Saccharomyces cerevisiae S288C: one gene and its partners. The gene in region 2 interacts genetically with the main gene of each other region. Each region holds a gene or a part of one and is shown on either strand. Other genes may lie near its edges.

Region 1 (9,014 bases), on a different chromosome or scaffold from region 2:
GAGATTTAGATCTGAGTGAAAACGTGGCGAGGAAAAAGGGTACACCGTTAAAAGCGTAGACACAATCCCACTTTGTTGTGCCTAGTCTTCTCTGCTGTATTTTAATTTTCTGTTTGAACTTTTTTCCGTTCTTTTCCATCATTGTTTAATTTTTACTTTGAGTGGGCTTCTCAAAAGAAAAAAATAGCTGGTATTGTATTTTTACCGTAGGCGTTTTCTTTGTATTTTTCCCAAGAGCAGCAGCACCTTTTATATACCTTGGTTACACATTGTAAGCCTCAAAAATCGTCCTATGTAAGTGTCTTATCGCATCATACTTAAGGTCAAACCTGTAAAGCGCGCTTCTAGTTTTATTTCTACTACTCGCCTTGGCTCTCGAGATCGCTTAGGTAGTTTAATAGTTAGTCACACCCACCCACCCATTCGCTTAGAATATAGAATATAGAGCAGTTGCAGTACACGACTCATTTTAGCAACGATAAGAGTATAAATTGGAAATGCCAAATTTTCAAAAACCTTTTTCTGGTTCTTCGGATGGCAATTCTGTAATGAACGACCTAGGTAATAAAGTCGCCATCAAGGTTTTTGATTGTAGAAGTGCTCAAGATGGCAGCGAAGAGCAGAATGTAAATGTAACCACGAACCAAATGTATTTAATGTTTCAAAGTAACAATTACAACGTGCCGCCACCAAATTACAATACCGAGGATTTGGGTTCTCAAGGACCTCCGACGCATGCTTATTACGCTCCATTTCAGCATCCCATCCATCTTCAACCTCCCGTGCCTCCTGTATATAAGAACAACACATATTCTGCCACAGACCAGTATAGTGACTCCTCGTTTCCTAATACTTCAGGCCACACTCCAGTAATTGATAGTAATTACTATAATGATGCTCTGGCTTCTATACCTACAACAACGACGGGTAGTACTACAATGACTACAGACAATGGCAATACTATTGACAGCGAAGAATACATTGATAACATGGAAGTCTTTAGTAGCGAGGAAAATGAAAACATTGATAATGTAAAGCAAACCGATCTTAAATCTGAAAAGGACTCGAGTCTTCTTTCAGCAGCTTCAATCGTGAAAAAGGAACAATTGTCTGGCTTTGAAAATTTTTTGCCTTTATCGAAGACAGAGTCTCCCTTAGTTACTGCAGACGAGATTAAATCATCTTTGAATTTGGAGAATATTGACAATGCTGACAGTATGAGCTTCAAGTTAAAAACTTCACCTATACGGAAACATTTTCATGTTAAACCCAAAAGAATAACAAGGGTGAGGACAGGAAGGGTATCACACAATATAATTGAAAAGAAATACCGTTCCAATATTAATGATAAAATTGAACAATTAAGGAGAACTGTCCCAACGCTACGAGTAGCGTATAAAAAATGTAACGATCTTCCCATTACATCTAGAGACCTAGCAGACTTAGATGGCCTAGAGCCAGCAACAAAATTGAATAAGGCGTCCATTTTAACGAAATCTATTGAATATATTTGTCATTTAGAAAGAAAGTGCCTACAGCTAAGCTTGGCTAATCAACATTTATCAAATGACACACGGGATTCTTTCGTCCATCTTACCGAGCCATCTCAACCGTTGAGTGACAACAGTAGTAGTGAACAAGTACAAAAGCAAACCAGAAGCTGCCAACGCCAACGGCAGCGGCAGCCACGACAACAACAACCATTGCATAACATTCAATATAATATTCCACATCAAAACGGCCTCATGAGCGGCACCAACAATTCACATGATATGGATTTTAACAACGCAGGAGACTTTTAATACTTGAACAACAAAATGTTTCAACACGACAGATAAAACGAAGAAGAAATACTATATACAAATCTGTACTTGTGTGTATGCGTAACATTGTAATTTTAATTTTGCATTGAGAAATCTATTTTATTCATCTCTTTTAGTGTTAGTAAACACTCGCAGATGCCTTGAGCTCCGCACCGTAATTTAGTTTAATTTATTTCTCTTAGTGCCGTCTAAATAATAACGATCTAAAAAAAAGATTCCGGGAAAAAGAAACTATACCTTATATTTAGTTCATGCAGTTAAATAAATGTTGTTAATTAAGGGTAAAATATGATGATGTATTTATGATAAGTAAAGAGTAGGGGTCACCTAACATTTTTCACAATTGCATTTACTCTTTTCACAAGTGCACGTGGTTTCGCATTTGCATTTTTCACCACAACTCTTACATTGAGGGCTTCCGGTGCTGTGATCACATTTGCACTTTTCACCGCCAGAACAGCTTGGAAGGCAGGTGCTCCCACAATGACAAGAGTCCTTACAACATTCGCCTTAACAGTCACATATTTTTACAGTCATATTTATTGAGTACTATTTGACATTGTAGTGTTCAGTGTAATATCGCTTCGCTATTCTTAGGGGGGACGATGTGCGCCCTTCTTATATAGGCCCCGCTTGATCACTACTTCACAGCCCTCTCGCATCCCTATCCTTTTTTTGTCCGAAAGACAAAAATCACTTCCACACAGCAATAAAGACGCATTTATTGTTCTTTTTCTTAAAAGTGCTTGCAGTAGGGGGTTTAGCAAAAGAAAAAAATATATGACCGGTTGTTATGCGATCTGACGTAAAGTGGAACTCATTTTGAAGGGTTTCTGCACAGAAGTCAATGCCAGAAGGATTTGGAACACCTACAGGACTGAACGTCGGACTAAAATAATGTTGGTAGAGTATGGTATTACTGTAAATTAATCGTTTATACGTGACGTTGACGATGGGATTTGATTTTCTTGTATATCTGACTTGAAAATAAAAGCAATAAATGACCACAAGAAATAAAGGCAGCTGTACTTCTGCAGTTATGTCTTTTCGTCCACTGGGCCTGCCTTAATCACTATTTTCGTAATTATAAATGTGGTTGGTTCGAAGTTCGGTTTCCATACTTTCGTTGTCACTGATGTCTGTAGCTAGATAATTGGAATCTCTAATATGTTTGTCGGCTCCTGGTCTAACAGTTGAGCCTTCTTTATTCTGTCCAATGCCATTTTTTGGTTCATATGAATTGGTTTTTCGCCTAGGCTTCCTTAATAGCTGTCGATATTTGGATAATGTCGTTTTAGTATTAGGTTTGCCATTCGATTTACTTCCAAAACTGGGATTTTGCCCAAATTTATTCTCACTTTTCATTATCTTATGTCTTCTTCTTCTGTCCCTTATTCTTTCGATTGGAGATTTCCAGGTGGGTGAAGGGGATCCTACTAAACTTGATGAATCGTGGGAAGTAGTGTTACTTTTAGTAGTGTTTAAATCCCTGTTTAACGTTATGGCGCTTAAATGCTTGCCTAAATCTTCTCCGTAATAATTGACTGTTGGATTGGCGAAAAATTTGTCCCTATTGTTAATTTTTCGTCCAAGGACTGTTTTTTTGCTTATGTGCAGCTCCCTCTTTTCCAATACTCCAATTAAGCCCCAAACGTTCACTGTTATTAAAACTTTCAAAAGATGAACAAAGTTAAATGTCCAACCTCTAACATGTTTGGTGAAAGCAGCGAAAAAAATTGTGGTGAAATAGAATAAAATAAATATAAGAATATTATACGCCAATAATGGTATAGTTTCGTGATAATTTTCCCAAAGAATTCTCAATTTCGTTTTACACTTACCGTCCGTATTAATTTCAGCAGTTTTCGGTAAAAGTATGTAAGCAAAATTATGCCATGTGAAGTAACAAATAATGGAGATGAAAATTGTGTAAATCAGTAATTCGATTAGCTTGTAAAATACCTTCAAAACTACAAGGTTCTTTCTCCAAAGAAGGTTTGCGAATAAAATGTTATCGGCTAGTGAGAGGAAGCAACCCACGGTAATTATGATATGTGTCCCCTTTTTCATTTTAAATGGGATCCAATTCCAAGTTGGTTTTCCATAATTGGACTGTAAGTAGTGAACAATATAAATCCAGTTTATATCACTCAAAATATTTGCAACTAATTCACATATTTTATATGGTGCAGTTTCTACGATGAACGATTCAAATTGGCTCGCATCCTGGTAGTCATCGTGATATTGGCTGTCAAATATGACGGCTATAGTCTCGTTTAGAAATACAGTTCTTATAATCGCAGAGAAAAGGACGTAAACATGTACAACTTTATTTCTTCTATTATGATTATCGGATGGCAGTAATAAGACAACCAAAAATAGCATCCATGTTGCCACACAGATACACCCAGAAGCAAAGGTGATCATTATCATTCCTAAGGGAAATGGGTCTTTTCCGATGTATTTACTACTGTCATCTTGAACGTTGAATTTGTTGTTGATGTCATAAACAAAGTCTTGTAAGACATGAGAGAAATTAGGATTTGCACTGCCATTATCGCATCGGATCAAAAAGGATGGGTAATTTAAAGTGTAATTATAAGCACGTAAGTGCCACGAATTACTTGCTAGAGAGATGAAGCCACCTGTCAATACATTTACCGTGCATGAGTTTTCATATTTATTTAGTAGTTTATCATCTATCAAATCAGTCAGATTGTAAGCTGGAATGTTGTCGATGTGTTTTTTATAAGGTGGCCGGTGGTCGTAATGCGGTGGTCTTTCATCACCAAGTTTATGTCCCGGAGGACCAGGTATCAAATCGGGAGGTTGAATTCTCTTTCTTGCTGCTTTTTCATACGCACCTACAAGTCCTAAATGGTAAACTAAAGTGAGGAGGTAGTAAAAATGCAATCTTATGATCATTAATCTTGCACGTAAAGACGTTCCGCAACAAAAAATGCTTGTGAGTGCAATATCAATAAGTATTGTTTTTGAGCCTTCGGAGTTGAGCTGCCATTTGGTGGTACTTGTTTTGAATATGATAGAAGCCTTATCTTTGACACTTCTTCCAGTCAATTTTCTCGCCAAGTTAAAAAAAAAAGTTACAATTTTCTCATCACCCCGAAACAACAAAAGAAAGTATATTGCTCTTTAGCCCTTCCTTGCAGATTTTTCAATCCAACGGGGCTAGTAAATCTGATATCAATCACATCGATTGTGTTATCTTCACATGTTGTTTGATAGAAATCAGACCTTCTTTTTTCTTCTTCTCGGATGTTTATAGTTAGTAAAGCTAAACTGTGTATATATGGCAATCACCGAAGACGAATTATTACAGGACAGAAATAAATGGGTTACACACCAGAAATCAGGGACAAAAGGGCCCAACGGAAATTTTATAGGTTGTTTTGTTTATCTGTGCACATAGGCGACAAAACTAAAGTTATGTATCTAAGAATTACAACGTAGTGTAGGTGAGCGGTACTTGAAACTTTCTTTTTGTAAACACCATAAAAGGATATTAATGACATCGGTTGAAATAATGACATCTAGAAGGAAAATTACAACTAGAAGAAAGCGTGATTATGTTGTAAAGAATCCGGCAAATAGAAAAGCTAAAAGATGATTGCAAGGCTAGTGAAGATATTTCAAAACTTAGTTACTCGTTACCTTAAAAACCTTACATTGTTCTCATGTATTACATGAAATTCTATCTTTTCTTTTTGAATAAGCTCTAAGTATTAATCCTCAAGTATTAATTGCCCACCACCTTCTTAAAACTGTTGTTTTTTAATTACAATTTTCTACGCTAACCCGTTTCTTCCATTTTCTCACTGTTAGTATTCCCATATAACGATCTTCTTAGATTATCTATAAAAGCGTATTTTGAGATTTGTTGCAATGACCTAAAAATGGTTGACAGTCATTCTTCTTGTTGCTGCTTTTAATAAACTAATTCTTTAGAGAAGGATAAGTACTGTGACATATTTACACTTTTTAACTAACTTCTTTGGCCACAACTAGTGAAATGTTCATCTACTGCGCAATTCAATATGCCCGCCGATAGCTAAGCGATAGCTCTTTCAAAAATTTTAAAAAAAAGGTACTATCAAACTGAATTGGAATGATTATGGTTCAAACTTACTCCTGATTCAAATATAGCAAAAAAATCAGGTGTGCAGCTATAGATCTGCCAGATACACGAGTCATTGCGAAAGGCACCATATATTACCTTATTTAGTGCCTTCTTGAAAAACAACTACAAGATCTTAACGTCACTGTATAGTGCCATTCGGTGAGCAAAGACAGGTATTGGTACTAATTGACAGTAAATGACTTATCTAACCCGTTGACGCAATGCTTCGCTTTTGCCATCAAGAATGTTGAACTGTGCAAAATGGTATTTTTTCGGAGAAACATTTCAAAATGGAAAGGTAACAACGTCCGTAGTTTTGTTTTTCCGTTTTATCGTTTACATGATTATCCTGAAAAGTCCCCTGCAGCAGCAATCATAGGGCCCACTCACTGCCATGTCTTCCCACCTCCTAAGAAATGGCTGCCCCACGCCCCTTTGACGACTTACTCCTCAAGGTAAAACTTGGCGTACGGAGAGGGGTCGAGAAAAGGTTCCGAGTGGAAATGTACGCCAATGTTTAGGGCTACGTGGAATGTGATCTCATTCTTACAAAACACGTAGATGATGAAAAGGGCCGCAAAAGTTTCTGTTATTCTTTAAATTGTTCCCAGAAATCCTCGAAGGAATGACCTAAATCTTAAGGCACTTGCTTTTAAAACTATTGTTCGTTAATTTGTTAGTAATGCAACCAAGTGCTCCAGCCCAACCGAAAAAAAGGGAAATTAACTTTACATCGATAAGCTCTGACGCAATGCGGGAGGGGATTTCCCGAGCGGAAATACCACGGCGCTGAAAAAAAAAAAATCGGAACCGGAGTTGCCTCACCGATCCCAATGGTGACATGCAAAGAAAATTTTATTGGCATTAAATCTATGAGGAAGAGGGTAGGAAGGAGTACTAGGCAAAAATCGTAACTAGGAGCAGAAGGCGAGTAAAACCCTTTCAATACTAGGGAGAGAGTGATTTGATAAGGATACCTCCTCACTCGAGAACTAGTTGATGTCTGCATCATTACCAAAGTTCATGTATATAAAAAAGGAACTGGGTGATTTATTTTTTCTCACGCATTCTGCTTACAAATAATTCATTAGATAATTTTACTGATTAACTACGACTTTTTGCAGCCGTTAATCTCATCATAGATATAGAATAACAGCTTGGAACAAGAAGGAAAACCAAAAACCTACTCAAATGTTAATGCAAATAAAAATGGACAATCATCCTTTTAATTTTCAACCTATTTTAGCTTCCCATTCAATGACAAGAGACAGTACAAAGCCAAAAAAAATGACGGATACCGCTTTCGTGCCAAGCCCTCCTGTAGGGTTTATTAAAGAGGAGAACAAGGCTGATTTGCATACAATTTCGGTAGTTGCTTCGAATGTGACTCTACCGCAAATTCAGCTCCCAAAGATTGCAACACTTGAAGAGCCTGGTTATGAGAGCAGAACTGGCTCACTTACAGATCTTTCTGGAAGAAGAAATTCTGTTAATATAGGAGCATTGTGTGAGGATGTTCCAAATACTGCGGGCCCACATATTGCAAGGCCGGTGACAATAAACAATTTGATTCCTCCGTCTTTACCAAGACTGAACACATACCAGCTTAGACCGCAACTATCAGATACTCATTTAAACTGTCACTTCAATTCTAATCCATACACCACTGCATCACACGCACCATTTGAATCTTCCTACACTACTGCATCTACATTTACTAGCCAACCGGCAGCTTCATATTTTCCCTCAAATAGTACCCCAGCTACGAGAAAAAATAGTGCCACGACTAACCTTCCTTCAGAGGAAAGACGTCGAGTTTCCGTTTCTCTTTCAGAGCAGGTTTTTAACGAAGGCGAAAGATATAACAATGATGGCCAGTTGATCGGTAAAACAGGCAAACCTTTAAGAAATACTAAGAGAGCTGCCCAAAATCGAAGCGCACAAAAGGCGTTTAGGCAGCGTCGTGAGAAATACATCAAAAATCTCGAAGAAAAATCAAAACTATTCGATGGCTTGATGAAAGAAAACAGTGAATTGAAAAAAATGATTGAATCATTAAAGTCGAAATTAAAAGAATAAAATAATGAATAATTATTAGTACTAGTAACATCTTAAAAGTTTTCAAAGCACATGGCAAGCACTTCTTCAGGGGGATGCAACCCCCCTTCTCCAAAGAAAATTGATGCCTAAGGTGGCGAAAATATTACGAGATAGGAAACAATTTATGGTTTCTAGTTTCAGGCAGCTTGTATTAGGTAATCAACAAAGCTTAATTTTCACCATTTTTATTTTCTTTCCTTCATCTCCCTTTTTTTATGGCAGGCACATTACTAAAAAGGAAAGAGTCAAGAGTGTAAAAATATACGTAGAAAATACATAGTAAGAAACGAAATTATATCATAGCAATTTGAAAAGTTTATTTCCCTAATTTTTTCAGCTTAGCGAATGTTGTCATGGAGCTTAGATATTCTCGCTTTTTTTTTTTCGCATTCTGATGTAATGAATATTGTTGACGTAAAGTTGTGCCAATTACGTAATTTTTTTTGTTTCTAAGGAGAGTTCCGGCCAGAAATTTCCTAGGGCTGATCCGGAGAACGACAGGAAAGATGGTCCGATGTTTTTTTCCCTCGCCCAAGAAACTTATTATCTTCAAGTTCCGATTTCTCAAATATCAACCATAGCATGAAACAAATTTAGTATACTAAGTGAGAAGATCATTATATGTACGTATGTATGAAAAAGCAGTAAAAAAAGAATTCAAGATAATAAAGTTATATTTCGTATTATTTTTAGCGGCCAGTCCGGATGATACCAGCAGCGATCAACGTCTGAATCTTTTTGAATACTTCTGGATTTTTCATGTGTTCTTGTAAAGCAGCGGGATTCTGTTGGGCCTGCTGCAAAATACTTTGCATAACAGGATCTTGCATGATCGCAGCCACTTCAGGATCTTTCATGGCCCTTTGATAGGTTTCTTCTGGGGTTTCGTTACTGGTACCAGGTTGGAATCTTTGTTGGCTTGCCTTGTAGTACAGTTGATCAATTTCCCTTGC
Region 2 (3,580 bases):
ACGAAGAAGGAATAATGACCAAGTTGGTGAAAAGATCACCGCTGAGAAAATCACTCAGCATTCTTTAAACTCCACACAGCAAGAAACTACCCCTGAACAGGTCAAGAAATGTTTCAAAAAGCTTTCAAAAAAATTAGGCCCAGAAGGTTCCATTAATCTTTTTAAATTTATTATAGACCCAAATTCATTCTCGCGATCCATCGAAAATCTTTTCTATACCAGTTTTTTGATCAAAGAGGGAAAACTATTGATGGAACACGATGAAGAAGGTTTACCCACAATTAAGATAAAACAAAGCATAAGTCACACAGATTCAAGAAGTAAAGAAATTGAGAGACAAAGGCGTCGTGCCGCTCATCAGAATCACATTATTTTTCAAATGGACATGCCTACTTGGCGAAAACTAATAAAGAAATACAACATCACTTCACCATTCTTAGACTAACAGCGATAGAGCGCTGCATATAATATGTACAGTTTTTTTTTTTTTTTTTTTTTTTTCATAGCTGGTCCGTTCTCCAACCATCAACACTTAATAGGTCATTCAATGGCCATTGCCTAATTGGACATATATCTAAATCACTAACTAATCGTAAGCTTTCCCATATCTCGATACCTGCCCAGCCGATCATAATAGAGTTGTCACTACAAAGGTCCATAGGAGGATAATAAAAATTAAAAAAGCTTGTGGAGTTCAACGTCCCCAATTCCGTTTCTAATTTTGTTCTCAACCTTTGATTACTACTCACTCCACCAGAACATACAAATTCACGCACGTTTTTAAACTTTTCCGGTTGTGACTTGAGCACGTGCTTCAGTTTATTTATTATATGGTCGAAAACAGATTCCTGTACTTGATATGCAATTGACCGTATTTCGCGTTCTGGCAGTTCCTGGATTTCTGTTTTACCTAGTTTTGTCAAATTAGTTCTTAATGCTGTGATAAATGCTGAAAACGAAAACGAAAGCATGTTTCTTTTACTAGCGCTGTTTTTTAACGGACTGGGCATTTCTAGTTTTAAAGCAAAATCTTGGTCGTTAATATCTTGATTAATAAATTTCTCCATTTCTCTAGCGATCATTGTTCCCTTGAATCCAAGCTCTCTGCCACATTTATCTAATGAGTCACCCACTGCAATATCGATAGTATCACATAATATTTCGTGATCGTCAATTGCTCGTGACAAAACAAACGTAGTATGACCACCACTAACCAGCAGGCTAACAAAGGGAAATTGAGGCACTTTTCCATTTGTACCCATTCTTGGTATCAGCAAGTGTCCCAGCATGTGATGCACACCAATCAGTGGTTTGTTCCAGGCAACAGCTAAACCTTTTGCAAAATCTAATCCTCCTGATAATGAACCAGGCATACCAGGGCCTCTTGTAACACATATGAGATCAATTCCTTCTCTCGCATTGCTTTCTATCAGGGCTCTTTCGGTTAAGGGTCCTATCCGAGCTTGGTGATGGATATGAGCCTTTGTTGGTATAATACCTCCTTCGTCAATACTATCTAAAGTATCTTTCAAATTGGCTAGCACATTAGGAGCTGCACTTTTTGAGAACCTGTCCAAAACTGAAACGCATGTATCATCGCAAGAAGTCTCAATGGCTAAAACTTTATAGCCTTTTCTTAACTGTATTGGTCTGTTGAATGCACGCCTCTGCCAAATTCTATAGTTATCGAGGAGAAATCTTCCGGTTCCTTTTATTGATATCATAATGAAAAAAAAAGTTTCTATCCTTTCTTCTACTCTACTTATTTCAGAGCTTGAGAATCGCTGTTTGCTTTAATTTCATTGTCAATTAATCATCGCGCAATGAAGATGCCACTCTTTCCATTGGCAGAGCGGATCCGCCAAATAGAAATTACATAAAACAAGTAATTTAGCTATTTTTCAGAGTACGAAATATTTTATTATATATATTGAATCACAATTACGAGTACTTTTCAATTACATGTTAAAAGTGCTTCATAAGTAGCTCAAACAGTTATTTTTCTAATACTATACCACTTCTGTCAAAGACTTTACCTTTGAACTGGGATAGATTTTCACCTGCATAACTCAATTTGCTGGAAACTTCGACTAGTACCCCATCTTTTACAATAGCGCCTGCATCTTCCAACCACGAGGTTCCTAGTTTCAAATATGCTAGTCTGCTGGTCTCAGGATTATCGTTCTTAGAACCAGGACCGTTTTTTAAAGGTGAAAATTCTTTGCATCTATCTACTTCTAAGCACCCAAACTTGTTCAGTGGTACAGTGTCAAAGACATCAAATATGAATTGCTCTAATTTTATACCGTTTGGTTCGGTAGGCTTAGTGTACTTGCCGGTAACACTATCATAAGCTGGAATTTTCTTCTTCGCAATGTGATATGGCATATTCTCACACCACTGATCCAAATCACGTTTTAGTAAATCCACTAGGTAATAATGATTTACAATGTTGCCTGCGCGTAGTTTTAATAAGCCATCTTTATCCTTTGCTTCAGCCAATTCATTGGAAATTTCAGAATATTCTATGACACATGGTTTCTCGTTTTTAGTAGCAATTAACCCAACTGATTCATGCGCATCTCTCTTTCTAACGGCTTTGGTGGCCAGTTCGAAGCCATGCTTGATGGCAAAACCAATAAATACAGGGTCTGCGATTTTAGATAGGACATTATCGACACAGTACATGTAAACATGCTTGATTCCTCTCCTATCAAAGTCTTCGTTCAACTTGTTTTCCTTGATGGCACGGTAGAGTCCACCATTTCCATCTGGTGATTGAGATAGGTTTACTGGGTCTTTCATTAGGAAATGCTTCCCGGTTAAATCAAAGGCAGGCAGGGTTCCCTGGTTGAAGAACGTAATTTGTTCTTTATTCAAGCCAAAATAATTGTGTTCTTGAAAGTATGCCTCAGTAGCCGCTCTAGTGGGGCCTGATGTCATAATATACCAAGGAATTTCTACCTTTTTGTCCTTTACCATATCTTGCAACCTGATCAACTTTTCAGCTTGAATTTGAAAAAGAGATTTCTTAGAAGGCAATCCAATGTCGTAACAGCCCTTTGGTTGAGAGGATCCTAACCGCGTACCTTGTCCGCCAGCCATTAAAATCACTGCGACTTCACCCTTGCCAATAGCTTCAAGGCCTAAACGCCAGTATTCATTTTCTTTCTTACTGTTGCCAATAAGCGACTCGTACGAAGTAGGGGGCAATGGTGAAATTTCGACGCCAGTATCCTTAGAAGAGTTAGCTAGTGAGAATTTAATAGCATTTTGACAGTCTTCCAGTAGTTTTGCAGGGGACCTCTTGGAAGATATTTGCTCCAGGTTTGAAAGCAATTCTTCTTGGTCTTTGCGAGACAAGCTTTCCCAATTGTGGAAAAGTTGACTTTGTCCGGCTTCAATGAATAGCTGTTTTGTGTCAGTCATAGTTGCAGTTCGATCTGGTGTTCTCCTTTATATCTGCGTTTCTTTGCAGCGTTCTTGCTTGACGGTTGATCTTGGTTTTGTGTGGTAAAAGTATGCCTTAACGTAATAGGCAATTTTTCGTATTACGCGTAACTTTTTATTCTATAAAATG
Region 3 (7,546 bases), on a different chromosome or scaffold from region 2:
CACCTAAGTTTCTCTTGTTATCGAACTCAATCAAGTTTGACTCATAGATAGTACGAACACGTAATTGTCTCTTAACAGCAGAGATTAAAGGAGGTCTTTGGAAAAGCGCACCGGTCAAGTTTTCTAGTGAGCGGCCCAAATCCTTTTCATCCTTCAAAGCATCATGCAATCTGACAATACACACATACTCCTTACCAGCACCTTGTTGAGACTTAACCAACCTGGTAGCTCTGTCAATACAAACAATCAAACAACCTGTAACTTTTGGATCCAATGTACCAGAGTGACCAGTCTTCTCACAACGTAAGATTCTTTTGATCCAAGCTACAACTTCGTGCGATGATGGGTTGGAAGGTTTATCTAGATTAATGACACCAGAGCTGATATATGATTTCAGGTCTCTCTTTAGTGGTGAACTACCAGCTGGGATAGGGGTATAATGACCACTTCTGACTAATAACTTATCAAAATTCTTCAAAAGTAATGGCCATTCACTAGTGTCAGTGGAAGCACCTGCAGCTTCAGGCTTAATAACGAAATCCTCCTTTGACATTGTGTATATCGGTCCTCTGTGTAGGTTGTAACGAACTCCAGATGATAATGAATCTTTAAAAAAAAAAACCAATAAAAAATGTTCTGAAAACTATCTTTACATTATATTTTTCCTAAGCTAAACATCTCATCATTTGAAAATTTTTCAAATTTTTTCAGCATTTTCTTTTTGCGAAGAGGGAAAAGAAGAAAGAAAAATTTTCAGTGAGAACAGAAGATCATATGTTACGAGTAGAAAATACTAAAAGTTTTTCGATAAAAAGGGAATATATAATATAAATAAATCAATCTGTCATTGAGTAAGTTTACAATGCAGCTGCCTCGAACTCTTTTTTCAATCTAGATTCCACCGCGTCAATGAACTCCTCGGTAGTGACATAAGCGGATCTTTCAGACTTACCGAGAATGAGCGCCAAATCTTTAGTCATGATTCCATCTTCTTGCACTGTATTTACCGTAGCGCTTTCCAATATTTGGCCGAACTTAACTACATCTGGAGTATTATCAAGTTTACCCCTTTGAATAATACCTCTAGTCCACGCGAAAATTGATGCAATGGAATTTGTTGACGTCTCCTTTCCTTGCTGATGCTGTCTAAAATGTCTTGTTACTGTACCGTGGGCGGCTTCGCTTTCAAAGGTTTTACCGTCCGGGGTAATCAACACAGATGTCATTAACCCCAAGGAGCCAAATCCTTGTGCAACAATATCTGATTCTACGTCACCGTCGTAATTTTTCATGGCAATTATGTATCCACCTTTAGATTTCAACATTTGGGCCACCATATCATCAATTAAACGGTGCTCGTACCAGATGCCAAGGGATTCAAACTTCTCTTTATAACTTCTAGCATACATGGCTTCGAAAACATCTTTGAATTTACCATCATACTTCTTCAAAATAGTATTCTTAGTAGTGGAATATAATGGTAACTTCCTTTCAATGGCCAATTCAAAGGAGGCCTTCGCAAACCCTTCGATCGAATCTGTAGTGTTGTACATCATCATGGCAACCCCACCATGTTCTGGGTAGTCAAATACCTTCAGATCTACATCATGAGTTCCGCTCTTGGATTTATAAACAAGCCTCAACTCGCCTTCTTCAGGGACTATTACATCGGTAGCTTTGTACTGATCGCCGAATGCGTGTCTCCCAATGATGATGGGCTTCTCCCATTGAGGAACTAGCCTTGGAATTCTAGGGATAATAATAGGTTCTCTGAACACTGTACCACCCAAAATGTTTCTAATAGTACCATTTGGAGATTTCCACATCTTTTTCAAATGAAATTCCTCGACCCTTGCCTCATCGGGTGTAATAGTCGCGCATTTGACAGCTACTCCATACTTTAAAGTCGCGGTGGCAGAATCCACAGTTACTTGATCATTAGTCTGGTCACGATACTCCACGGAAAGATCGTAGTACTTCAAATCAACGTCAAGATAGGGCAAGACTAACTTGTCCCTGATTAAATGCCAGATTATTCTTGTTTGCTCATCGCCGTCCATTTCCACAATGGGGTTAGCTACCTTAATCTTTGTCATTACGATTTTATATATATACGTACGTTACCTTCTTACCTCCTATTCTCGTGCCTGAGCAGCGACTGTAGTCGACAAGTCAAGAGTGTAGTAACATACAATTGCAGGCTGTCATTTATATATCATGCCGGAGACTAGTTTGCCTATAGCCAATTCCAACCGAACCAATAATGTTAAGTCCGGTTTTTGATATTATACTCCACCCCCACTATTCCTAGCCCTGAAAGGTATCAAAGAGAACACTGATGATTTGACTACTGCATATTCTTCCCTTATTTCCTTATTTGCCGATTTTCGGACCACCGGCAATGACATCCCGGAGTTATAAAAATAAATAGATAGACGTTCACGTGACCAAAGTGTCACCCTCTCCGGCTAACCCGGTGAGAACCCACGGGCCCAATGCCGTCGTAAGTGACGCATCTATCGTCGCATTAAAGTGAATAACTGTAAAACCCTGGAATAGTATTTCGTTCAGGGTTCGTGTTAGTTCCAAGCTATTGACGACTTCCATGTCGTCATTTTCTAGATCAAATTGAAGCTTCATCTGCGTATTTCCTGTGTCCTCATCGTGCAGAATGTGCGATGAAGAGTTGATCCATTGCTTCATGGGTAAGTTTAAGAAATTGATGTCGTTATGGTACAGATCGATCTGTCCCCGAATGGTATCGATGCGAACTCGGTCTTGCTGGTGCGTCTCGTAGAAGGATAGATCAAAGAATCCTAAAAATGTCCCCACAAGACTGAGCTTTTTGCGCGCTGCCCACCGTAGCTGAAGATCGTTGATCTGAAACTCTTGAATCAATTCACTGGAGTTAAACGTAGCATTGGTAGTAATGGGAATAAACGATGCTTCTTGGAAAATATCCTCCAGCATGTCTGCTGGAATCAATGAGTTATTATCTATACCATCTTCAAGGACATGGCCTCTTGCTGCGAACGTAACAGTCTCGTTCTGGTTCAGGACCGCATTCACTATTTGGCTCATTGGTGTAAGACTATTTTGAGGACATTCTTGGTATAGTAGTTCATCGGGCAGAGGACCTTCAATTTCATTTTGTAAACAGACGACGATATTATCCTTGTCGTGGTGCAGATTAATCGGTTCGTTAAAGCAAGACAAGGTTGGAATTGCGATAGCAGGCTCACCGTTACAGTCCGGTAGCTTGATTTCCCAATTGATGAAAGGGATTGACGTGCCTGGCGGAAGGTGAAGCCAGTCCACCCCTCCAAGAATCGTGATCGGATTCAGTCTCATATCGGCATGAAATCCATCAGAACTGGAGTCCCGCAATGTAAATCCTTGAAGAGATATTCCATCGATCATATTTTGAATCATCCGAAGGGGCGTTGCCGATATTTTTTCCCAATCAATAATATCTTTCCAATCTAAGATTTCGTCATTAAGTTTCAATAAATTAAACCTCGTGCCAAATTTTCTCTTGAAGATAGTCATATCTAAATTCGATTTTATATTTAAGGATTCAAAATCCCTATTCCAAAATTTTTTCAAAACTTTTACGATTTTCCAAATAGACGGTTTAACTAAAATTTTGAACTGTAGGTTATTAATCTGTCGGTGAGCCAAATTAAAACAAATGGGTTCCATGCCAACAACATCTCCCAGTTTATTCTTGAACACTAGATCTCCATCGAATGTGGTCACGTTATTCAGATCTATACAAATGGTTTTAAGAACTTTTTCATTGATGTACCGTATCCAGTCACGTTGGCTTCTGGCGTCCGAGTCATTTTCCGTTCCTGGCCATTTGTCATAATCGAACCAAATTTGAGAGTGTATAGACACCTGCAAATACTTACCTGTATCATTGTTCAGGTCAGAGCCCATATTATCTTTCCAACCATCAAGCTGAAACTCCACCAGTTTGAAATTTGTTACTTGAACTAGATTCTTTTCTATCACATCTGTGGGCGGCACATGTCCCCTAATATACTGCACTATGCTGACGCCAAAGAAACTTAATAAAACAATACCTAGCAGATATATAATTAAGCACTTTATACTCCGCCAACGAGATTTAATAAGGGTCTCATTTGCAACGTTGATTCTCACTTCATCATTGAGGAGTTGGCTTTCTTCAGTGTTTGGTCTCAACAGTGGTTGAGTTTCTAGATCTTGGTTATCCGCTCGTAAGGGTGAGTTAGTGTGCATCTTAAAAGGTTCAAGGAGTAATGCACTACACTAAGCAATAAAAAATCCCAAAAACAGGAGGATCTTGTGTCTTCTTCCCCTAGACAGTTCATCTTTTTGATTCTGGGCTTCGCATTTACCTTTAGAGAAAATTAAATAACCCCATGCATGCGATTCTAAAAAAAAGTTAACTAAGCGATGGGATGAAATTTTTTTCTGGTGGTTGTTAGCAAAGTAAAAACGAACAGGATATAGAGTGAATAAAGGACAGTGAGAAAAATGCTTTATTTGATCGGACTTGGTCTCTCGTACAAATCAGACATTACCGTTCGTGGTTTGGAAGCTATTAAGAAATGTTCTAGAGTTTATCTAGAACACTATACCAGTATCCTAATGGCTGCAAGCCAAGAAGAGTTAGAATCTTACTATGGTAAAGAGATCATCTTGGCTGATAGGGAATTAGTTGAGACTGGTTCTAAGCAGATCCTAAATAACGCCGATAAGGAAGACGTTGCTTTCTTGGTCGTGGGCGATCCATTTGGTGCCACCACACACACAGATTTAGTTCTCAGAGCTAAACGTGAGGCAATTCCCGTCGAAATTATTCATAATGCGTCCGTTATGAATGCAGTTGGGGCATGTGGCCTACAACTATACAATTTCGGTCAAACCGTTTCCATGGTTTTCTTTACCGATAATTGGAGACCAGACTCATGGTACGACAAGATCTGGGAAAATAGAAAAATTGGCCTTCATACTTTAGTGTTATTGGACATCAAAGTTAAGGAACAAAGCATTGAAAATATGGCCCGTGGCAGACTAATCTACGAACCACCAAGATACATGTCTATCGCTCAATGTTGTGAACAATTATTAGAAATTGAAGAGAAAAGAGGTACAAAGGCATACACTCCTGATACTCCAGCAGTCGCAATTAGTAGATTAGGCTCGAGCTCCCAAAGCTTTAAGTCTGGTACCATAAGTGAGTTAGCCAATTACGATTCAGGAGAGCCACTTCATTCGCTTGTCATCCTCGGCAGACAATGTCATGAATTGGAGCTGGAATACCTGCTAGAGTTTGCCGACGACAAAGAAAAGTTTGGGAAAGATGTGGCAAATGACCAAGAGTACTTCAAACCTGCGGCATGGGTCCCACCCACAGAAGACGACAGCGACGAGTAAAGGTAATGCACACGCTCATGTGTAGTTTCTTTTTTATAATGTATATTGAATAGATCCTTTCAGTCGGGTAACAATTCGATCCCAAACGAATCGGGCCCTAACGATATGTGTAAAAATGGCAATGAATGAACAAGAAGTTATAACAACAATTTCAGCCAAGAACAAGAGCGATCCTGGAGGAGATTATATACGGATACACAGGTACACAAGATGACGCAATTAAAATATTTGTTGCTGGTTTCTAGGCAAGGAAAAATCAGATTAAAGAAATGGTACACGGCAATGTCCGCTGGTGAAAAGGCAAAAATTGTGAAAGACTTGACACCTACGATATTAGCAAGAAAACCCAAAATGTGTAACATCATCGAGTATAATGACCACAAAGTAGTATACAAGCGATATGCTAGTCTATATTTTATTGTTGGGATGACGCCCGATGTTGACAATGAACTGCTGACCTTGGAAATTATCCATCGGTTTGTCGAAACAATGGACACATATTTCGGCAATGTTTGTGAGCTAGACATTATATTTAACTTCAGTAAGGTCTACGATATCTTGAATGAGATGATTATGTGCGATGGCTCCATCGCAGAGAGCAGTAGGAAGGAAGTACTGCACCATGTGACCGTGATGGACACCATGGAGAGCAACGATAATCTTGAAAGGGTATTGAGTTAGGACCACTAAAAAACAATGGAATGAAGAAGAAAGGAGAAGAATAAGATGAGAAGGGGGCAAGGGGCCCTACTATTATTACCGTCTGTCGCAAAAGCCGTTGCCCGGACAAAAATATCTTTTGCGAGCATCGGCACAACGTTGATTGGTCAGAGCGGTAAAAAGGAATGAATGTGAAAAATGTAAAGAATATATAGGCGATAAAATTATCATGCGAAGTGATGTACATATTTTTGAATTTAAGCATCAATAGGACGAAAGAATAGATTTCAGACTAAGATAAAATAATCGAGAATAATTAAAAGACGATAATGAAATTGTTTCAAAACAGTTACGATTTCAACTATCCATGGGACCAGGTAACCGCCGCTAACTGGAAAAAATACCCAAATGAAATATCTACACATGTCATCGCAGTGGACGTTTTAAGAAGAGAATTGAAGGATCAAGGTAAGGTCTTAGTTACTGAACGGTTGATTACTGTAAAACAAGGTGTTCCCAAATGGATCATGATGATGCTAGGAGGGACCAATATGAGTCATGTCAGAGAAGTTTCTGTGGTAGACTTAAATAAAAAGAGCTTGACCATGAGAAGCTGTAATTTAACGATGTGCAATCTATTAAAAGTCTACGAAACTGTAACATATAGCCCGCATCCCGATGACTCGGCTAATAAAACACTTTTCCAGCAGGAAGCCCAAATTACAGCATATGGATCCATTAGAAAGCTGTGTAATAAGATGGAAGATTGGTCAGTTCAAAGGTTTTGCGAGAACGCTAAAAAGGGTAAAATGGGATTCGATGCTGTTTTGCAAGTATTTAGTGAAAATTGGGAAAAACATGTTGATGACTTGAGCAATCAACTTGTCAGTAAAGTCAATGAAACCATGGAGGATGTTAAAATATCTGCAGGTACGCTTCTTAAAGGAACTGAAAGGAGCGGCAGAACCATCTTACAGCAAAATATTGACTTGTTTAGAGACGCATACAACCACGAAAATTAGAGATACAAATTCCTTGATCCCGCATGGCACTGCATACTACTTATATTCCTCTACTGTCTATCTATTCATTTGTTCTTTTGTTGTAAATAGAAAAGTAAATAATGACAATATTAAAAGCCTTTTTCAAAATTTAACGATCAATTAAAATATATAAGTTTTAAAAATACTTTACTTAAGCGTTAACCTTGTAGACGGAATGACACTTACCACAGTACAATCTGTCCTTGTGGTTAGCCAAGAAAACACCAGCACCACAAGTTGGGTTGCTACATTCTCTTCTCAATTTGGTAACCTTACCTTCAGCATCGACCTTGTAGTAGGACAAGACAGCCAACTTGACCTTCTTGTGCTTGTGCTTGATCTTCTTTGGGGTGGTGTAGACCTTCTTCTTTCTCTTCTTACCACCACCTCTCAATCTCAAGACCAAGTGTAGAGTA
Region 4 (9,673 bases), on a different chromosome or scaffold from region 2:
TCATAATTACTAACAAGTATAGCCAATTCGCCTTCTCGGCATTTGTGTAATCACTTAAGAAAGAGTTCCATTCCTCAAAGAGCTTCCAGCCATTTATCCACTTAGACACTCAACCAAAATTTGCAATTTGTGGTTTAATCGTTACATTAGCTGTATTATCATCTGCCCTGTTCGCCGTCGGTTCTAAATCTTCATACATTAAGAAACTCTTCTTCTACACAATTTTAAGTGTAATTGGCAGCTTGTTTGCTGGCTTGACCACTGTTTTTGCTTCGAATTCTTTCGGTGTCTACGTCTAGTGGCTCTTCGTTGGCCTATAAAGGAATTATCGATGAAATTATATACTATACTTAAGAAGTATTTTGGATGAGAATATTAAAAAGAAAGGTGTCAAGTAAATTTCATTATATAAACGGTTTAAGACATATTAATATGCGATTTTTGGGAAGATAATGACTGATATCACATGGCTTTGTTGTTTGAAGGTGCTTGTTTTATGCTCATAAATTCAACACATCTTCGTCGAAGTTAATAGCTTTGTAATATCTTGGATCTGAAGAGTTGGTTGAACCGAACGCGTTATACTCAAGTAATGTAGAAAGCATAGCTCTAGTGTTTGATATTACATTCTCTAATGCGCATTCGCTATCCTTATGTAAAAATGTTAGTATTGTGTTGTTACTAACTTGAAATAATCTCTCTTGTAAGTATTCGTCACTCAAATATCCTGATATCTCCTTTGGTGCCTCCACAAGTGGATTGGAATATGCTAACAATGCAGAGACATTACTCAATTGTCCACTAAACCTATCCCTCAAAGATTGTGGAATTTTAGTATCGTAGATAAATTCATTAGATAATTCTTGACCCTTCAAAATTAAATTTTCAATTTCGTCATCATCTTTGGATGAACTCTTTTTAATCATCACCAGATAATTCGCTAGTTTTAACTCAAATACCAATTCTAGATTATTTTTTAACAGATCTGGAATTTCGTTATCGATATAATTGATGCATTTGCTAATTTGACCTTTGTTTATCAAGTATCTTAATTCTTGCCTTATCTTTACCATACGTTCTTCTTTCATGATCTGTCTTTCATTGTGCCTGATAACATCTTTACTTTCAGAATGTTGCCCATTGACATTAACCGCATCTTTTTGCAAATCTTTCAAAAACCCCTTTGCAACATCCACCAATCCTTCGTGGATCAAATAATCATTTATCATCACGTTTAATGTATTAGGCAATGAACCGTCATCCACGCTTAAGTTGTTAATATTGTTCACGTCTGGTCTAACTAGCTTTCCATCTATAAACCTATTATCTTCTCCCAAAAGAAACTTCAGATTGTTGTCCTTCTCATCGTTAAGCTTCTTTGTATCCTTATTACCAGCGGCACCATCCTCTTGATCAATATCCATCAAATCTTCATTAACGTTTGTTGATTTATTTTCTTCAGGCCCATTTTCAGTTTCATCTTCCTCACTTTCATCAGAGTCGAATTCTTCAATTGAAACGTCCATTTGGCGTCCACGACAAATATGCTCATACGCCAAACTCTTCCATTTATCTTGATATCCAATAATGTCAAATACAAAATCCTCATTTAACCCAAAATTTGTTTTGATAGAATTCCCAGGTCGTAAGGCCACATATGGGACGAATTCTAGATCATTCAAGTCGGTGAATGCGTTACCTAAATGGATACCATTCTTCGTGAAAAAAATTGAGCCATCGATAAAATTTATGCCACAACCAATAACGTCATCCCTACCAAAAGGCTTAGCATATTCCTTAGATTGTTCTGTAGAATTAGTTATCAAACCGTCAAATCCGCAATAGCCAAATACATTAAGATCAAATCCGTATTTCTGACACTTATTTATGGAACCATCCACGTTAAGAGACATGGCTGAAACGCCCCCTTCATAAATATAATCACGCCTTTGAGTACCTTCCATAGTGAAAGAAGTAGAAGGTACTCTATTGGAACTCATGTTATTACTACCACCTAAGCTACTACTAGAACCGGCCACGCTTGAACGAGAAACACTCTTTTTTGTAGTCGCTTCCATTAATTCATTCTCTACTAACTTGTATCCGATAACAATGTTACTATTTTCAGCACTCTCTGTACTCGTTACACTGAGAACTTTAATCTCGTAATAGAATATAGTTAACTTATTGTCTGGCAATGACTTATTTGCCCAAGTGACTGCAAAGTCCACTTTCCCAGAGTTCTCAAAAGAGGTTCTCAGTCTATTTCTGGTAGAGGCAGAAGAAGCGCTTGATCTTTCATAAGTCATGTATGAGTGATAATCAGGATTAGGTTGTAAATGAGTAATACCATCTTGAGATAGCTGCAAGCTGTTATTTGGTTGAGCTTGCCATCTAGAAGGTAAAAAGTACCCAAGTATTTTGTAAATATCAGGGATCATTGAGTTTTTCTTTTTGCTACCACTGTTGGACAAAACATTTGTTGCCTCATTGTCATTTTTGTCGTTACCAGACGATACTCTAGGAGAAGAAAAGGAAGAACTTGGAGACTGATCAGGGGGGTAGTATTGTAGACCACTGTTCTTGTCAGATGTATCCCACAAATTCCTTGATTCTGTTTCTATATTAATAGCTGATCTAGATCTTTGATATATCCATGGGTCCGCAACCCTTTCGGCACGCTGCTGTGCACTGGACACATCAGCATCAGCTCCTCTACTTCCTTCTTCTCCACCTTCCTCGTGATTGTCAGAGCCATCTCCTTCGTTGTTATCGTCCGTGTCAGTATCCACTTCCCCTTCTAAGCTTTCCAGATCGGATTCATCGTCGTCGTCGTCATCGTCATCGTCATCATCGTCATCATCATCATCGTCATCATCATCGTCATTTCTGTCATTTTCCAGGCTGGTATTAGAGTTAAGCGCCATTTCACGTTCGGATAAAACGGGTTCTAATAGTTCCTGAGCATTTTTCCTCATGTCTGAGGAAGCTTTCATAACTCGCACTGAATTTTTATTTGAATCTTTAACACCAAATCTCAAAGTAAAATCATTAACGTCTGGATAGAAATATTTATAGACTTGAATCAGGTAATCGTCGTTGACAGCTTCAAACGAAATTGTGCCTAGAACACCCAAATTCATCAATTTAGACCAGATTTCTTTCCTTGTTAAAGCAGTTAACTTTGTCCTGCCCATTCCAACGCCAGTGGGATTTTCATCAGCGTTGATTAAGTTAGTGTTCTTCAGTTTGTGAAAGAGTTTTCTATGTTGCAAATATAAAATCCATAAATCATAAGCCACAGGCTGTTGCAGCAAGTAGCTCGGGAACAAACAGTTAATGAATTCGCGGTCTACGTCATCCATATATTCAGACATTTCCTCTTAATTATGCTGAAATTCGACGCTTGGCTTTAACGTACTACTAATATTTCTGCTATAACAGTAACAGTTCTGGTCCAATCCTTTGGCTCTTTCTTTTGGTTGATCGATTCATCAGTTCCCTCCCCTGAAAGGCTCGCGCGTCCTGTAATCTAGCAAAAATAGGCAGGATACAAAATACAGTGGAGTGGTAATATTATATTCTTATATGGCTATATATGTTTATATATAAAGGTAAAGACAAACAATAAAGAACATACATATATATATAGATAGATATTGTGTGTGTGTGTGTGTGTGTGTGTGTGTGTGTGTATAGCAAGCGCATGAATTTCATCACAATGTCATGGTAATGGTTGTGGTGATGGTCGAAGTAGAGGTGTAGGATACGTCTTCTTCGTCTTCTTCTTCCTGTTGTCGTAATAGCTCCTGCTGCCTTTGGAACTCTTCTGCTGCAGCTTTTTCACGCTCTTTTCTTTCACGTTCCTTTCTTTCACGTTCCTGAAATTGCAGGTTGGCTTTCGATCTTAGAATATACAAAAACTCACCACTCTCTTGAGTGAACGATAATATCTTCTTTTGCACTTTTTGCCTAAACGCGTTAACACGGGATAAGTCAGCGGAATGGTGAGCCAGCTTGTCTCTAGATTCTATGATCTGTTTCTTGCCCTTCAAAAACTTCTTCCAGTTAACAGAAGACTTTGCTTTCTCTTCATCAAGCGTAGTGTCATCATCTGCACCCATGTGAGCGTTGATAACATCCACATAAGCCATTCTTTTGGACCATTCATTTACAATGATATCACCCCATTCTTCAAATACCTCGACGTTTTCCTCTCTAATTGCATTAACTTTTTTTTCAATTTCATCAGTGATTTCGCTCAAATCTTTCTCCATAGCATTTGTCAGTTCGTCTAACGTCGAGCGCGTCTCGTTGAAGTACTCACGAACTAACTCTCTCGTTATGTACTGAGAAATCTCAGTACTTCCAGATTTATCGAAGAAAATTTTCTTGCCAGTTTCACTATCAATGCCTTCCACACATTCAATATCGTTAATGGCTAGCGAAATCTTGGAGAAGAACTTCTTAGATTTATCATCTAAAGATTGAAACTTGGCTTTAAAATGGTTGGCCTCCTCAACCAATTTACCATTGATGTATTTGGAAACATCCTTTTCAAATAGCTGTATGACGTCTTGTGTTTTCTGCAATATAGTCTCACTCCACATGTCAAAATCCTCTTGCAACAGAGCCTGTTCATTGACATTGACGTCTGTGGAGCCTTCAACGTCTGTGGAAGCCTCATCGTCGTGCGCATGATTAGCAACAGCGCTAGCCTCTTCCTGGTCCAAAGTAATTGTTTCAACCACTGTTTGAGTACTTGTTGTAGTTAGCTCCTCTTCGTCAGACTCCATAGTACTTACGGTTAAAACCATGTCCTCCGAGGAAGGCTCACGTGTGACAGAACCATGAATGCCATGCGTGTCCTTATTCTTGAACTTTCCCATTAATTTTTCCTCTGTATTACCAACAATAAAGTCGTATTTGGATTTGATGCATCTTGAAGTGATAGTAAAGTAATAATGGCCTATATTTTTATACTTTAAAATTCTTTCCTTCAAATGAGAGCGAAACTCCGCAGTAAAGAATTTGTCTAAGTTAGGTTTCACAAAAGCATTGTATTTTGCGAAGAAAAATCGTCTAGTCTTGACCATTGGGGAGCGGACCAATTGGTAATACTTTCCACAGTTCCATTTCTTACATTGTGAATGGATGACCTTGAATGCAGGCTGTATAGCGACCTTGTTCACTTTTACTGTAGCGTCATCGATGACAGGTTTGACAGCCGTGTCATATTTACGCGCCACTATATCGAAACCGGGACTAACTTTATTTTTGTATAATTCACAATTTCTTGAAAAGTAGGTGTTCCAGACTCTTGGATTGGTATAATGGCAAAGCGTTTGCGTGCGTTCACACGATATGCTCCCACTATTGAATTCGCAACAGTACTGAAGCAACGATACCAACACCGTCAGAGTTGTGATTAACTTTATCAGCTTTCCCATTTCGTTACGCTGCGTTCTTGTTTAGATGTAACAGCTTTTGTGCATCCAAGATATAAAGTACTTCAGAAATGGTGGTTGAAACAGAATGCCCATTACGCTTACTTTAAGGCTGTTCTTCAAGTTGATCCTTTCTTTGATACATGATTATCATCATGTACGTAGAAATCCGCCTTATTTCCGAAACCTGACTATCTTAGGGTTATACATAGAAACGTATAGGACATTTCTTACTTTTGAAAATTGTTCCTTGGGCAGTTCAGGGTTTAGTTAGGGTATTGATGCCAGCCCTAAATCCCCTAAATAAGAACTCTCGAGGATAATAACAGACAATAAACCAAGAGTTCATCCACGTATGATGGCTGTTTTTTATTCTGTCGGTTTTTGGTTGCCGTAGTAAATATAATTTGGTAAGCGTGTTGTGCTGTGTTGTGTTGTGTTGTGTTGTGTTGTGTTCTACTAATTGGATTGTGCGAATAAGTGAAACGGTTGCTTCACCCAGCGGGAAAAGGACAACCTGGTATTTGGTGTGAGATAAAGTTATAGACAATCTGGTCTTTTGTTATTAAGTTCTCTTTTCTTCTATACCGTCCAGTTTACTGCTCTCTTGCTTTTCGATAAAGCTAAAATAAAATAAAAATATGTCACTATGGCCCTTTGGAGAGACGCTGAGTCATTCCGGAATTGATTCGATACTTGAAGAGTACTATCTAATTTTTCGTAGTTTGGAGGGAAATGAGACCTCTTCAACTGACGACAAGAAGAATGAGCCTTCTATGGAGTCAGAGTCCGAATTTGGTACCGAGTCTCGGGATAGGAGTGACCTTAACCAGTCATTTATTGATAGGATCTTGTTGGAAACAGCTTTGCTGGATGAACTGAATGGAGCAGCCAACGACAGACTCGTCGACTTCATTTGCTTGGGATATTTCTATGACGACCGTTCCCAGCAGGTCCGCCACATGGACTACCTAGTGGACATGTTGATGGCTTACCTGAAGGACATAGACCGCACTGGTTATAGAACCCCATTTCTTTTAGAGAATTCATTCCATCAAACAGGTGAATATGAAGATCAGGACGATGAAGACCCAATGCTGTATGTCAACATTATTTCCAGTATTTTTTGTTCGAAAAGTGCGCCCATAGTGGAGGCACTCGTGCAAAATACCCCATTTTTGTCCTCTCTGTTCGAGGTTTTCCAGTTTGAAAATATTGAGGCAGAAAATTGTCCTATCTTGGCTGTTTTCCTTAAGATTAACGAAACTCTTCTGTTTGAACAGACATCTAGCTATTTGGAATTTTTCAAATCGCAACCGAACATTGTGGACAAGTTCTTATATCATATTGAAGTCTCACCCTTGGTTGAATTTCTCATTAAAATCATGCTGACTGATCAAGTTGAATCACCTACGAACATTATTGACTTCTTGTATCACCAGGATCTGATACCTAAGTGTTTGAATCTCTTGGAAAATAGCAAATACTCACCTGGTATTCAAAACAGTAGCGGAGAGCTTCTAAAAGCACTGATCAGCATTTCCACCAATTTTAAACTGGATACTTTGTGGATCGGACCTAACCGATTGACAAGACAGCTTGCCTCTCCGCAATATGTCGACCAACTTATTAATATAATCTTATTTCAAAGAGGCCATGCAATGGGAGTTGCCGTATCTATTATAATTGAGTTGATCAGGAAGAATAATTCCGACTATGACGAAGTAGATTTGTTAAGTACCACCATAGTAGACAATCCGCCTTCTCAAAGAGATCCAGTCTATTTGGGCCATTTGTTATATGAGCTCACTATGCATATGGAAGATTTTTATGCATTACTAATTAAACTTGAAAATGATGATGACGATGATCATGACACTGCTTCAAAAGCTCTTCCATCTGTTAAGCATCACCTACTAGAAAACCAATTGCATGAATCATTCAGGCCTTTGGGCTTTGAAAGAGTCAAGATTACAGAATTGATATCGGAAATGTTACACTGTTCAAATATGGGATTGATGAATTCAAAAAGAGGCGAAAAAATAGCACGTACCAGAGATAAATGCAGGGACACTCTTGATCAAAACTCACTAGAGAAAGCCATGAAAAATTTAAATATAAATGATAATACTATTACTTCCAATACATTAGAAGATAAATGTAATAATAATGATAGTAATGACAGTAATGACAACCAAAAACAAAAAAAAAATATTAAAAAAAAGTTTCATGATAATGAATTGTATTCTACTTTTGATACATCTGATGACAATATTGATGATGATGATGATATGAGTTTTGAAATTCCTTACGTCAGTGAAACGCAAAATTTGAAAATACGTAAAAACCCTACCATTGGAGATTTATTCAAAATTAAACTTCATGACCTTGGGTTTTTTCCAAAGTTTCTACAATTATTCTTAAGATATCCTTGGAATAACTTTTGGCACAACATTGTATTTGATATTATTCAGCAGATATTCAATGGTCGAATGGATTTTTCTTATAACTCATTTTTGGTCTATTCTTTGTTTGATTTCAAAAAGTCTACAAGATTTATCCCAAAACCTTTGTACGGCAGCAACCAAAAGTTACCTGTTAAAGACTTCCATATTATCTCTGATTTCATTTTACAAGGCCACAAGGATTCGTTTGAATTTTACGAAAAAGAGAAAACAAATTTAGGTTATATGGGTCAATTAGTATTAATTGCCGAAGAAATTGCGAAGTATTCCAAAATTTATAAGACCGATCTAATTGCTCCAGATATATATGCCTTCTTACAAGATGAAGTTTGGATGTCATATTCTAGTGACATCTTGAACGAAACAAGGACAATGTGTTCAATAATTCTTGGTGGAGGCCAGTTCTGTGCCGAAAGCGATGAAAATACTAACCAGGACTTTTTGGAAAAAGCTGATATGAGTAAACCAGCTCATCCATCCACAATGGATGAGAATGAAATTGTTCACGAGGAGGATGTTAAGTTGCATGATAAAGTTGCCGAGCTCATAGATGAATTGGGTCAATTAACCGAATTAGATATTCATGATAAAATTAAAGATGTTATTGTTGATCATCATTCCGACTTAAATTGATTAGGTTAAGTCGTCAAACCAATTTTGACTTTTTTTTTCCTACATTTTTAATATTTTGTTTCTCGTTTTGCCTTATTTAATTTTGTGACATGTAAAAATTACGAAGCCTATTGGGGGCCAATTGAAGTAAACTAAATATAACAATAGTCCTTTGTAGTTCAGGAATGTTCACCAACTATTCACCAAAAATTATTGTCTAGCTTACTTTCAATAACTTATAGCTATCTATACAAAAATAATCATATAACTAAAGTCAGGCCCAAACCAGGCAAAACAAAACCATAATAATGGGAATTATTACACTATCCGGCAATGTTCTACATTTATTGAAAGCCTACCCAAAAAAGGGCCTTGAAGAGGTTTCTCAACCAGAGCCTAATACAGCAAATGATTCCTCGACTGAATATAAAGGAAAAAGCAAGGATGATTTTCAAATGGTCGAAAAATCCAATACAGATGAGAGATACAATTTTACAAGAACGAAAAAATGGTTTTTATTGATGACCTCAGAATATTACAAACTAATGGAAAACAGACTTTTAATGTTTTGCATTATCGCTTGCTCTTTTATTTGTGCTATCCAATTTCTTTTCTTTATAATTTATTGGACCAACATTGTTCCACGGAAGACGCAAAGGGCAATAACTAACCTAAATTACGATTATTTAACAGCCCATCTAAAAGAGCAATGCGTTCCATATGCGAAAATTCTTGACCAATGTATTCTCTAGCAATCTCTGCTTTTGTACATTCGTAGTTTTTTCATGTTCCTTTCATAAATAATAAAAAAAGCGTATTCTTTTCTATATAAATAGAATGAAAAAAAGTTGAACATAATATCAGTTAAGGTTAAAATAAAGCCAAACGATATAAGCAACAGAAATGAGTGAACAGGAGCCTTACGAATGGGCTAAACACCTATTGGACACCAAGTATATCGAAAAATACAACATTCAGAACTCAAACACATTACCTTCACCACCAGGATTTGAAGGTAATTCCTCTAAAGGAAATGTTACAAGAAAACAACAAGATGCTACATCTCAAACTACTTCTTTGGCACAAAAAAACCAAATAACAGTATTACAAGTACAGAAGGCATGGCAAATTGCGTTACAACCAGCCAAA

Evidence for each region.
Region 1: mutations in QRI7 (region 2) and DFG16 together harm fitness more than expected from each alone (negative genetic interaction), as found in Saccharomyces cerevisiae (2 studies listed by BioGRID).
Region 3: mutations in QRI7 (region 2) and APS1 together harm fitness more than expected from each alone (negative genetic interaction), as found in Saccharomyces cerevisiae (2 studies listed by BioGRID).
Region 4: mutations in QRI7 (region 2) and VID30 together harm fitness more than expected from each alone (negative genetic interaction), as found in Saccharomyces cerevisiae (2 studies listed by BioGRID).

Annotation. Positions count from the first base shown.
Region 1 is NC_001147.6:382,559-391,572, reverse strand, and holds DFG16 (Dfg16p), read right to left. Parts: upstream 4,749-9,014; coding exon 2,889-4,748; downstream 1-2,888. Other genes in the region: HMS1 (Hms1p), read left to right, coding at 498-1,802; YOR029W (uncharacterized protein), read right to left, coding at 6,638-6,973; CIN5 (Cin5p), read left to right, coding at 7,153-8,040; Hsp90 cochaperone STI1, read right to left, coding at 8,751-9,014. UniProt on the Saccharomyces cerevisiae protein: Involved in invasion during filamentous growth.
Region 2 is NC_001136.10:273,153-276,732, forward strand, and holds QRI7 (putative N(6)-L-threonylcarbamoyladenine synthase), read right to left. Parts: upstream 1,725-3,580; coding exon 501-1,724; downstream 1-500. Other genes in the region: Smc5-Smc6 complex subunit NSE4, read left to right, coding at 1-445; QRI1 (UDP-N-acetylglucosamine diphosphorylase), read right to left, coding at 1,996-3,429. UniProt on the Saccharomyces cerevisiae protein: Required for the formation of a threonylcarbamoyl group on adenosine at position 37 (t(6)A37) in mitochondrial tRNAs that read codons beginning with adenine.
Region 3 is NC_001144.5:499,141-506,686, reverse strand, and holds APS1 (Aps1p), read left to right. Parts: upstream 1-5,637; coding exon 5,638-6,108; downstream 6,109-7,546. Other genes in the region: pseudouridine synthase CBF5, read right to left, coding at 1-553; isocitrate dehydrogenase (NADP(+)) IDP2, read right to left, coding at 858-2,096; TAG1 (Tag1p), read right to left, coding at 2,440-4,266; DPH5 (diphthine synthase), read left to right, coding at 4,525-5,427; UPS2 (Ups2p), read left to right, coding at 6,417-7,109; ubiquitin-40S ribosomal protein eS31 RPS31 fusion protein, read right to left, coding at 7,282-7,546. UniProt on the Saccharomyces cerevisiae protein: Component of the adapter complexes which link clathrin to receptors in coated vesicles. Clathrin-associated protein complexes are believed to interact with the cytoplasmic tails of membrane proteins, leading to their selection and concentration.
Region 4 is NC_001139.9:63,375-73,047, reverse strand, and holds VID30 (glucose-induced degradation complex subunit VID30), read right to left. Parts: upstream 3,378-9,673; coding exon 501-3,377; downstream 1-500. Other genes in the region: OST5 (dolichyl-diphosphooligosaccharide--protein glycotransferase subunit), read left to right, coding at 60-299; SHE10 (She10p), read right to left, coding at 3,717-5,450; SAP4 (Sap4p), read left to right, coding at 6,089-8,545; YGL230C (uncharacterized protein), read left to right, coding at 8,833-9,276; chaperone EMC4, read left to right, coding at 9,428-9,673.